Drosophila melanogaster: one gene and its partner. The gene in region 1 interacts genetically with each later gene. Each region holds a gene or a part of one and is shown on either strand. Other genes may lie near its edges.

The links.
Region 2: of THG (region 1) and Smox, changing one suppresses a phenotype caused by changing the other (phenotypic suppression), as found in Drosophila melanogaster (one study listed by BioGRID).

Annotation. Positions count from the first base shown.
Region 1 is NT_033779.5:15,007,760-15,011,583, forward strand, and holds THG (tRNA-histidine guanylyltransferase), read right to left. Parts: upstream 1,966-3,824; 5' UTR 1,945-1,965; intron 1,934-1,944; exon of another isoform or gene 1,840-1,933; 5' UTR 1,839-1,839; coding exon 1,691-1,838; intron 1,636-1,690; coding exon 923-1,635; 3' UTR 730-922; downstream 1-729. Other genes in the region: NC2beta (negative cofactor 2beta), read left to right, coding at 159-710; Rnmt (RNA guanine-7 methyltransferase), read left to right, coding at 2,259-3,459, 3,517-3,599. UniProt on the Drosophila melanogaster protein: Adds a GMP to the 5'-end of tRNA(His) after transcription and RNase P cleavage.
Region 2 is NC_004354.4:8,136,526-8,144,418, forward strand, and holds Smox (smad on X), read right to left. Parts: upstream 5,755-7,893; 5' UTR 5,111-5,754; intron 4,393-5,110; 5' UTR 4,158-4,392; coding exon 2,697-4,157; 3' UTR 516-2,696; downstream 1-515. Other genes in the region: CG2120 (uncharacterized protein), read left to right, coding at 1-362; CG17982 (uncharacterized protein), read right to left, coding at 6,091-6,996; alpha-PheRS (Phenylalanyl-tRNA synthetase, alpha-subunit), read right to left, coding at 7,474-7,893.

The DNA of each region.
Region 1 (3,824 bases):
TCAATTAATGATTTCATTTATTTACAAAAACAATAATTTTTCGATTACATTTTTCTGTTAGCAGTAAACGGCCACTCTAGCACACTATACTAGTAAATCCGAGAAAAACATCTGCTTCCAAGTTTGTTTGTTTGTTTGTTCCTTGAAACCAGGACGCCATGTCGAATCCGCAGGAAGAACTACTGCCGCCCAGCGCCGAGGACGACGAGCTGACCCTGCCACGGGCCAGCATCAACAAGATCATCAAGGAGCTGGTGCCCACGGTGCGGGTGGCCAACGAGAGTCGCGAGCTGATACTCAACTGCTGCTCAGAGTTCATTCATCTGATCAGTTCGGAGGCCAACGAGGTGTGCAACATGCGCAACAAGAAGACGATAAACGCAGAGCACGTCCTGGAGGCGTTGGAACGCTTGGGTTTTCACGACTACAAACAAGAGGCGGAGGCCGTTCTGCACGACTGCAAGGAGGTGGCAGCCAAGCGAAGGCGCCAGAGCACGCGCCTAGAGAACCTGGGCATTCCGGAGGAGGAGCTGCTGCGCCAGCAGCAGGAGCTGTTCGCCAAGGCACGCGAGGAGCAGGCGCGCGAGGAGCAGCAGCAGTGGATGAGCATGCAAGCGGCAGCAATGGTGCAGCGACCACCGCTGGCAGACGGCTCCGTTGCCAGCAAGCCAAGTGAGGATGACGATGACGATGACGACGACGACTACTAGTAGGAAATAGTCTTTCTATGAGCTTAGTGTAGATTTAATCTTAAAATATATGCCATAAGTTGAACTTTCAACTATTAGCTACTCTTCATTACGGATCATCCGTTTGTCCTTCACTCCAGCAGCCTGGGCACCGCATCCTCAATCTCCGAAACGACTTCCTTAGATGTATCGTAACTTTAATCTTTAAAAATGCAAGACTATTCGTTATTATATCAGCTGGTACCAGCCAGATTTTGTGGCTCCTCCGCCTCATTGTCATCCTTGCCATTTATTTGCATCTCCACCAATCGGGGAAAAGTTTGTGGTGCGTCGTATGTGCCTGGCACATATTTTCCCAATATTTCGGTGTGTTCCTTCCAGAACTGCGAAGATATCAGATCCTCGTGCAGCGGCACCACGGCCTGCCTGCTCTTCTCACCCAATATCACGCGTTTTCTCAGCAGAATCGTTCCCTTTCTGTACATTGCCGGCAGATTGTTGTAATTTATCCCGAATTCCTGGAAGAGCAGCTCATTTTTGTCCGCCGAAAAGGTGCCACGGAGTTTCGCCTCGGCTTGCTGGTTCGTCAGGCCTTTTTCCAAAACGAGTTTCCAAAAGGCGGTATTGTACAGGTTGTTCACATGCACATCGGCCTGTCGCCAGCTGAGATAGTCCTTTAGATTCTGCTCCGAAGGATACAGAACAACGCGACCATCGAAACACGGAGCATAGGCCAATGGCAGATTCATCCACTTGGACCATTGCATTACATAGCTCGAGGAGAACAAGCTGGTGACGTAGGTGAGCAGTTTGGCGGATCGTCGCTTGAACGCTGCCGTCTCTTTGCGAAAAACAAAGGAGTACTCATCACTTTGACCGTAGGCGAGGACAATATCCCGAAACTCCTGCATCACCGCCGTGGCAGCAGCATTCATCACATTGAGAGCTAAAGCGAATATTTAATGGGATTATTAAGAACTATAATGAGTGTTTTTTCTTACCATTTTCATCGTTGGGCTTTTCAAAATCGTGCGTCTTGGAGAACTTGTGGAACTTTTTGCCGTCTATTCGTATGACTATCCACACATTAGGCAGTATGCTGTCGTCCTGCTCAAAGGATTTAACGTACTCGAATCTGCTGCAGGCCATGCTGCGTTTTGGAAAATTCCGGGCAAGGGAATAATTCAATAATTTAACAAATTTATTCAAAGTTCCAAGCAACCGCATTTAAAAAGTTAAGAAATGCATGAGTTACCAACAGCTGATTGATGTTTTCCATTAACAGCACTGTTAACTAGTGCTTGACTAGTGATGGAACTTTTAAAATCTGTTTAGCTTTAATCTTAAAAGTAGCTAATGAGGATGGTTTAGAGAATATTGGTTTATAAAAAATTAATTAGGAAGAAAAATAAATTTAAATCTAAAATGTATATTTCTTATTCTGAATACTTTCCGCGCGAAATAACATCGAGTGCCGATAGCACTCGTGCACTCATTCCTAACTGACCCGATAACTTCGATAGGCAACGACTGTTGGTCATCCGGCAAAACAGAAAATTAATAGAGACTATGAGTCTTAATTACGAACAAAACGCGGCAGACGAGCAGTTCGCCCGCGCACACAAAGCAGTCAGCCTGTCGGACGACGAGGAGAGCGAGGGCCAAGCGGAGACCACGTCTGCACCAAATCAGGAGCCGCATGTTAGTAAATCACCGAGGGAGTACTACGATGAGCCTGGCGGGAAGGGCAATGGAAGTGGAGCAGATGATCAGGATGAGCCGGAAACGGAGGCTGCCAGCGGAGCGGCCAACACACATGTGGTGGCACACCACTACAACGAGCTGAAGGAGGCGGGCCGCAAGGATCGTCAGAAGTCAAAGATATTCTTCATGAGGAACTTTAACAACTGGATCAAGAGCCAGCTGATCAACGAGTATATGTCGCAGATTAAGCAGAACAAACGCATGGGTGATGCTCTCAGAGTTCTGGACATGTGCTGCGGCAAGGGCGGTGACCTTCTCAAATGGGAGAAGGCTGCCATCTCCCACCTCATCTGCACCGACATCGCTGAGGTGTCGGTGGAGCAGTGCCAGCGGCGATATCAGGACATCCTGCAGCGATCGGAGAAGTCGAAATTTGCGAATAAGTTTACCGCGGAGTTTTTTGCCTGCGACTCCACATTAGTGCGCCTGCGGGAACGGTATAAGGATCCTTCGCTTCAGCTGAATCTCGTGTCCTGTCAGTTTGCCTTTCACTATTGCTTCGAGTCAATGGCGCAGGCAGATTGCATGATGCGGAATGCAGCCGAGTGTCTGAAACCCGGTGGCTTCTTCATAGCCACAATGCCGGATGCCTACGAGATCATCCGCAGGCTAAGGGCAGCCGGTCCAGATGCCCGGCGTTTCGGTAACGATGTGTACAGCATTGAATTTGACTGCGAAACGGATCCTTTGCCGCTTTTCGGAGCCAAGTATCAGTTTCACTTGGAGGGCGTTGTCGATTGCCCCGAGTTCCTAGTGCATTTTCCCACGCTGGTCAAGCTGGGCAGAAAATACGGTCTGCAGCTATTGAAGCGCTCCACATTTGCGGATTACTACAAGGAAAATCTGCACCACGGGCGGCATCTTCTGCAGCGAATGTCCGGCTTGGAGTCGGTGCAGCCACAGCGCTGCGAGAATGATGAAGAGTTCGCCCATGTGAGTAACTTTCAGGGAGCACAGCGAAGCAGGTCGGTGGGAACCCTCTCGAAATCCGAATGGGAAGCAGCAAGTGAGTTTACTCAGCATCGACTTCTGAATTCCATTACTAAATAGCTTCTTATTTCAGCTCTTTATTTGGTTTGTGCCTTTAAGAAATGCAAAAACACCTGGGACACCAATGGCAAACCATTGTTCGAATTTGACGACTGATTATTGCCAAAAACATTCACGTTATAGACTATTATTCTGTACCCGTGGCTTAGCACTTTTAAAGTTTATACTCGAAAGCATGAACAGATTATTAATTTCAGAAAAGATTAGCTCCGTAGGTTACAATTCGTAAAACTAAGGGTATGTTTGTTTGTGTTCATAGGTTTCAATTCAAATTTTATTGTCCAGTCTAGGAGATATTTAACAAATTTACGAGAAAGCCAC
Region 2 (7,893 bases), on another chromosome or scaffold:
CCATCCACGCGCGGCGCATTCACACAAAGCTAAGGCATGCGGCACAAACGGATCCGGATCCCGAACATCCGCTGGCGGAGCAAGAGCAACGGGATACATCTGCGCTCAGCTTCACCTGCCCGGTTTGCAGCCGGGTCCTAACGGATCAGTGCTATCTTAGCATCCACCTGAAGCGGCACTACAATCAGCGCGACTTCCCATGCCCACAGCCGGAGTGCGGCAAGAGATTCTTTAGTGCCTCGGAGCTGAAGCACCACCAGATTGCCCACACCCAGCAGCGACCATTTGCCTGTCCACTCTGTCCAGCACGATTTCTGCGCAAATCCAATCATAAGCAACACCTCAAGGTGCACGAGCGTTGACAGCTCGAGAGCACTTTGATTATGTTAGTATACGGTACGATTTCCCTGTCCATTCGAATCGAATTCCAGGCGAATCCGAGACTCGCCCCACCCTAAGCTGCCCCCCGGAAGGGGGCTTGGTCTGCGCTTTCCATTCAATATAAGTGTTTATTTATATATACGATTCTGTTTGTCTTTATCTGCATGCTTGCATATTAGATATATGTATATATTTGTATTTATACTTTATAAAGTTACGGGTACGGGGTTGCTGGTTCTCTGTGGTTGTGTCCTCGGAGGACTGTTGACTGTTGCTGTTGCATGTTCGCCTGCATTGCTTTGTTTCGTTTAGGCATAACTTAAGGATTACATTACATTATTTGCGGGCTTAGCCGGAAATACGAAAACAATTGTTTGATTAAAAACAGTGATTAGAGCCAATTAACAAAACACAATCTCGTTCGCGGTCGTTTATTCGATTGATTGACAATCAGGACTAAGTGTCTTAGCACTAAACTGCACACGTGAGAAACTTAAAAGCAACAAAGGGGGCAAACAATAGACAAAACTTAAATTAAAGTTTCGCCGGAACCAGAGGACAAGTGCGCTAGGCAACACTGCCCGCCACGCACCATTCACTGCCCAACACTGGCCAGGCGGTACAGTTATTTTTGGTCGTAACAGCGAAGCAATGGGCAAAAAAAAACAAAAGAATTAAAAGAATCAGCAAATATTGACGTAAAAACAATTTGAACTTGAACTTAAACTGGATTTGGGCTCTTTAAACGTTAAGATAAGCTAGCGAATTTTGTTACATATATAGACTTAAGATCTAGACCCAAGAAAAACGTGCACTTGCCAAGCAAAATCCGGCCAGCAACGGCAAACCATATTGCATATTGGTTGGTTAAGCTATCGTTTCAAATACGATGCTGTAAAAGAATCAAGAATCTCTCATTTGGTACACAATAAATGCAGTTCTGAACAAAATGGCACCTTAGATGGGCCAGACCTGGCTTGCGGCATTCAAATTTTGTTGGGCAAGTGCTTTACACATAGGATATATGATCGCATTTTACGGATATTACGACTAACAAGAGCTGACTGCGCTTTAAGAGTTTACGAATTTTTTAACACACACGTACTAAGCGAAAATCGAAACGTTTAACAACCATCTTCAAACGGATATATCTATAATCCCATACTCGATCAAGTGGAGGTCCTGCGTGAATAATTTCATTATTTTGGTCTTATGTACATTTGCAATGTATGGTAGTGTGTCTGTGTGTGTAAGCTTCAAGCTTGATAAATCCCAGTTCCTGTTTTGCTCATTCATTTTTGTTCCAAATCACCAATTTAATTGTTTTGCTTCTTTCTCAAAGAATTTTGACTCTCTCGCTTCTAGCGCTACCAACTTTACGCACACAGATTCGGGGTATCTTTTGGTTTTTTTGTGTTCCTGGTCGGTTCCATTTCGGTTATTTCCTCATGTGCTTTTGGTTTTCTTTTTTTTTTTTTTTTTTTGTATGTAAAATGTTTAAAAAAATTGTTGCTTCTTATCGAAAACTGTAACTCTCTCCACGTTTCCACCTACACAATATATAGTCCTAAACTTGTAACGCCAAATACATGTTCTCTCTCATATATGCTTGTAAAGATATATATCCCACATGTAAGTGTGTGCTCTTTGTATATAGATATATCTGCATCTGGTTTGCATCTACCATTTGTTTTTCAATTACTCATTTATGTACTCGTATATAATTTGCCTGAACTTATTTCATATGTGCTCTCAGAATTTTTCTTGGTTTTCTCTTTGAAACCAATTCCGATTCTCATTTTGATATCCCGCGGAGCTGCTGACTAGTAACACTGATGAATCTCGGGTCATATTCAACATGAATAGAGCTGTATATAGTATTTTTGGATGATGCGGAAGTTCTTGTTACATCAAGGATTCAAGTAGTTTTTTTCAACATCAATTTGTACAGCTTTCGGCAAGTGAAATGTACTTTTTCTAGAGCTAGTGACATAATTAAATTTTATACCCTGACAGAGGGTATTTAAACTACATCACTACAAAGCCGAACAAAAGCACATTGATTGCATACCAATTTCATCTTAATAACCATTGAAATTTCTCTCGAATGTGAATAAAAATCGATAATAAACGATATTGACTACCGCAAATTCTTGAGGATAGTATCCATTCATCGTCAGTGTTACTTGTCAGAGCCGTTTACTGGGATTTCTGTGGATCTTCTTTCAAACCCAAAAATGGGCCTTAAACTCCGGCGCTTTCTGTGCGGAAAATTGGGGGAGGGGGAAGATTGAAAACCGGAACCGGCCGTGCGCTTATGACATGGAGCTGCACGGCAGCCGTGGCGAACCCATCTGTGTGAGCACGCGATCCAGCCACTGGAGCGGCCCGTTCAGATGGAGTTCGATCCAGCAGGGCGTTGAGGTCACCGTCTGGCGGCGATATTCGGCGCCCCAGCCCTTGACGAACGACATGCGGATGGTGCACATGCGTGTCAATTGGTAGACCGCTTCGAATCCCTGCGACACGGACTGCGACAGCAGGGCGGCAAACTCCTGGTTGTTGAAGATCTTTAGGTTGCAACCGGGCGGTATCTTGCATACGGTGGCCGGATGCCAGCCATATCGCTGATTACAATTTGGGCTCTGTACGAAAATGGACGAATCGCTCAGACATTCTGCGAATACCTCACCGCCAATATAGTAAAGCCGTACGCCCTTGCCGATGTGGCGACGTGTCTGCTCCACGACCTCGTTGCGATTCACATTAGACAGCAGTCCGAGGCAAAAGCGCTCCGAATTGGAGGGATCGGTAAAGCCATCCACCGTGATCGAGGGCTGCGAGGCATGGAACGTCTCGCCGACACGCGTATTTAGCTCATAGTAGGAGATGGAACACCAAAAGGCCGGCTCGTGGTACATCACCGGCGCTGCATCGGCGGGCGGCGTTAGACGCGACATGTTCATGTTGTCGTTAGGATCGATGGGGTCACCATCCTCGCTCATATAGCCGGGCGGCGGGGTGCCGGTGTTGGGAATGCTGCTGCCCACACTAAGCACACTCGATTGAGAGTCCATGTTTTGGCCAAAGGACAGCTGCTGCTGTTGCTGTTGATAGGCGGAGGCGGCGGACGATGACGACGACGACGACGAGGAGGGACCACCACCACCACCGGCGGCAGTCGCTGGCGTCGAACTGGCAGACGATGATACGGAAACGGGCCCGGCACCGCCCAATTCCATGTACTGCGGCGGACTCAACGAGGCGCTGCGAATGATCGCCGCATTGTAATCGGTGTTGTTGGGTATCTGGTGCGTATGGTTGTCCAGCGGATAGTCCACAATGGAGTCGGGCGGCGTGGGCAGCGATTTGGGCACCAGGATGGACAGTTCAATTTTTTTGTAGTGGTACGGATTTATGCAGATCTCCTCCTTGCGCAAATGGAAGGCGTACTCGCAATGATCGAGGGGCTTTAGTTCATTCTGACTCTGGAGATCGGGCCAGCGCCACAGGCGGCAATAGATGACGTGCGGCAGACCCTTGCGCAGATGCTCGCCGGCGGGAGCTGGCTTGCTGCGCGGCACCGTCACGCACCGCGTCTGGCAGTTCTGTGTGGAGATCGCGCGCTCTAGCTCCTCCAGCTGCGAATTCTTCTTGATCTTCTTGACCAGATTCTTGACGGCCTTCTCTGACCACTTGCCCTCGACGCTGTTGTCCTCGTTGCCCTTTTTGAGTGCTAACAAACGCTTGACCACCTGCGGGGTGAATGGCAACATCTCAGGGTCTCAGGGGGGGGGAGTTCTCCTGGGCTTTCCTGGTGTCCTCCGCGTCCACTAGCTCCTCCTCCTCCAACTCTGCGTTGCCTTTTGAATACTGCTCTCACTGCTGGCGTTGGTCGAGTTTTAGTTTTAGTTTTATTTCGATCACCTTCTCTGGAATACTGGAACGGGACTGGGAAGTGGAACTGGAACAGTCCTAATGCTGCTGCTGCTTCCCTTGTGCACTTCTGATCTGGAATAGTGGAATGGGTTTAGTTGTGCGTGCTTTGGCAATTAAAACCTGATAATTGGCTTGCATGTGTGTGCGTGAGCGGCTGGATCTGATAAAAGCTCGACCCTGATGACGATGTTATTGTGATAATTGCCCGAGCGTGTGTATATGGGTAATCTATTAACTTTTGCCTTAGATTCACATTCAGATTTCTAAAGAAAGATTCAATTTAGATTTTCCATTTCCAAAACGACAATCGCAAATGCAATCGTCTGCGTGGGTTGTTGCTGTTCTTGCTATTTTCACTACCGTTGTTATTGCTATTCTTGTTGTTATTGTCTCCAACAAGGTCAAATGTCTGCGTTTGCAGACGCTTTTTTTTTGCTTTCGTTGAGTTACAGCAGCCACAGAAAACAGAAACAGAACCAGAATGTGTGTATATTTCTGTATGTATGTACACACGCCTAATCTGTGGGCAGTTTGGAATTTTCCATCTTATCGAAGGCGGGGCAATAAATTACCGAAAATAACAACAACAAAAAACATGAGCGTCGCCGGCAAGAGGGGTACGATCGAGTTAAACGCAAAAATAAATAAGTAATTAAATGTGCATTGGGGAAACAGCGAAAAGTGCACATACAGCCGCTTTGGAATGTATCCATGTATCTGTATCCGTATCTTCAACCCCCACCTAACACACACACACTTGCGCCGAGTGTCTCGCACATATAAATATTACCTGTAACGGTACCGGCAACTCGAGCTCCTCTGTCGTCCTGCTCTTGCTCCTTTCGCCTGCTCTTTCAACTTCTATCGTGCCCGCTCACTCGCACGCACACACTGCTTCCAGGTCCAGATGCACGGGAACGGTAACCAAAAGGCACCGGAACCGGGCGCACACATCCAGCCGAGCCGAGCCGAGCCGCGCCAACAGGAGGGGGTGGTGGTGGTGGTGCTGGTGGCGTTGATGGTTGTCTGGAACGGGGAGGGGGCCGTGTGGTGGGCACCGCTTCTTCAAATTTCTGTGTGTATATATCTTGTGTGCGCGCCAGAAAGTGACAGCTATACGCACACGCACACCAAAGCACAGGCACCGCACACCGACACGCAAGGAGCACACACACAGTTAAACGAGCGCACAGACACAAACACACAGAGGCACAACAAGAACAGAGAACTTATTTTGATAAATATTTAAACGCCTCCTTGTTGTTTGTTCTTATGTTATGCTCTTTGTGTTTATTTTCTATACGTTAGTAGTTCACTTTACGTTCGAATTGTGCTTTATGGGAGTAATATAATTTTTTGCGTTTCGCGATTTTGCTATTCGCAAAGTTGCAGTGTGCCCAGACTTGCTGCCCAACAATAGTGTGACCGACTGTGTAGTGTGACCGTTGGCTGAAACGCGAATAAGCTTCGACGCCACGGCTCAAAATAAAATAAGGCGTGAAAACATTCTAATGATCGTTTTGATAAATTCATATAAACAACATAAATATTGTTACATATTTTAATACTAAAATCATAAATATACTTGTTCGCAAATATATTTGCGCCACAAAAGAATGGGATTGGATGGCCAACTAATTAGTTACTAAATCGATGGGTGATATCAACTCCCTGCAAGAATCAAGTCAGACAGCTTTTATTTTTGAACGTAGTGGATTTTTTGTTTTTATTCACTTATTGGTAATTGTCAACTACCAGGATGAACTGGAGTCAAGTGCGGGAGAAGCGCCAGGACTTCTGCAGCGCCTGCTTGACGAGCTCATCCGGCGAGGGAGTATCAAAGCGGAATCTCTTCACCTGGATGCCGTAATCCTTATACTGGCACATTCGCAGGTGCTGCCGTTCCAGCGGAGTGACGGCGTACACTAGACGGGGCTTTCTCGGCTCCGGATAGCCCACCATTTCGTCCAGCATGAGCCCAATGGGTCCCGGTTGCTCCCGGTAGTCGCTATTCGCTGGTGACCGATCGGCCAGCACGTCCTCGTCGTAGTTGATGGATCTTTTGCTGGCCAAGAGAGTTACACCGGTCGTGCTCCTTCTTCCGCGATCGCAGGCAATGAAGGGTATGGCAAAAGGCTCACAATTGGTCAACTGGCGCGCCTTGCTGGCCAGCTCCTTGGGCGGTGCGCCTTTATGCCTGGCGATAATCGTGGACGTGAGGTCAATGAGTGGGGGTGCTGACGTGGCTGTATTCACCTTTGTCCCATCGCCTATATCCAGCTTCTTCATGCCGCTCTCCAACCTTGTCAGCAGGGGTATGTTCAGGGGCTCCTTGGGCATCGCGACCAGTTGGGGTAACACAAATCCCATTGATTGCGGCTTGTTTTCGCCCTCCGATCGCTGCCGTTGCCTCAACTGGATCTCATTGAGTAGCATTTGATTGTGTGCCTCCGCCTCTCGGCGGTATTCCTGCTCGGCAGCGGCATCCGCATTCGTCTGCAGCTGCAATTGTGGAATTCTAAGCTGTGGAATTTTGAGCTGCGGAATTGTGAATTTTGGCATCGCTTCTGGGCTCGTGCCACTTATACTGCTCAATTTGGACAAATCGCTGGTGGGCTGGAGACCAAACTCGGCCTGGATCGCCTGGTGGAGGGACTTCTTCGGATTGCTTGCCATTTTTCAAGGCCCAAACTCCAGCGACGATGACGAATTTGTTTATTTTTTTTTTTCTTTCTTCTTTTTTGCGTCTCTCCTTTGTTGTTTTCTTCGCTCGTTTGACGTTGTTTTGTGGCAAAGTTGTCAAATAGTTTCAACTGATTGACTGATTGTCAAACATGTTTTTATTATTCTCACATATTTTAGGATTCTCACTCTAAGCAGTTTCTTTAAAAATTTTCCGAATTTTATAAACCCGATATGCTTCCCTCAAACAATAACCTAAAATGCAGATAGCATAAATCGGCTGCACTTGACAACCCTGAACAACAGCTGTTTGGAGGGAAAATACAAAAATGGTTCGCCAAATGTTATATTTCCCTTATCAATATAGACCCAGTTTCTGTGGCGGAACTTTTATTTATAAATATGTTTTGGAACATTCATGTGTGAAAAAAAATGCAATTTGATCGCAGGTCCTATTGATTTTTTAAGGTATTAAGCATGATCCAGCCGGCAGATGGGGCCCTCCTCCACCATCTTTAGATCCACTTTGGGTCCGACCAAATCGCGAATGTTGTTGATGCCGTACTTGATCATGGTGGGTCGCTCCAGCGACAGACCCCAGGCGATTACATTCACGTTCTCCGGCAGTCCCATGGGCAGCAGCATCTCCGGCCGGAAGACGCCCGAGTTGCCCACCTCGATCCACTTGGCCAGGCCGGGGTGATAGCAGAAGATCTCCATGCTGGGCTCGGTGTACGGATTGTACGCCGGCTTGAATTCAAGCTGCGTGATGCCCAGCTTTCTGAAGAACTCGTACAGCGTGCCAATGAGATCGCCCAGCGTCAGACCAACATCTGCAATCACGCCCTCCACCTGATGGAACTCCGCCAGATGTGTGGCGTCCAGTGTTTC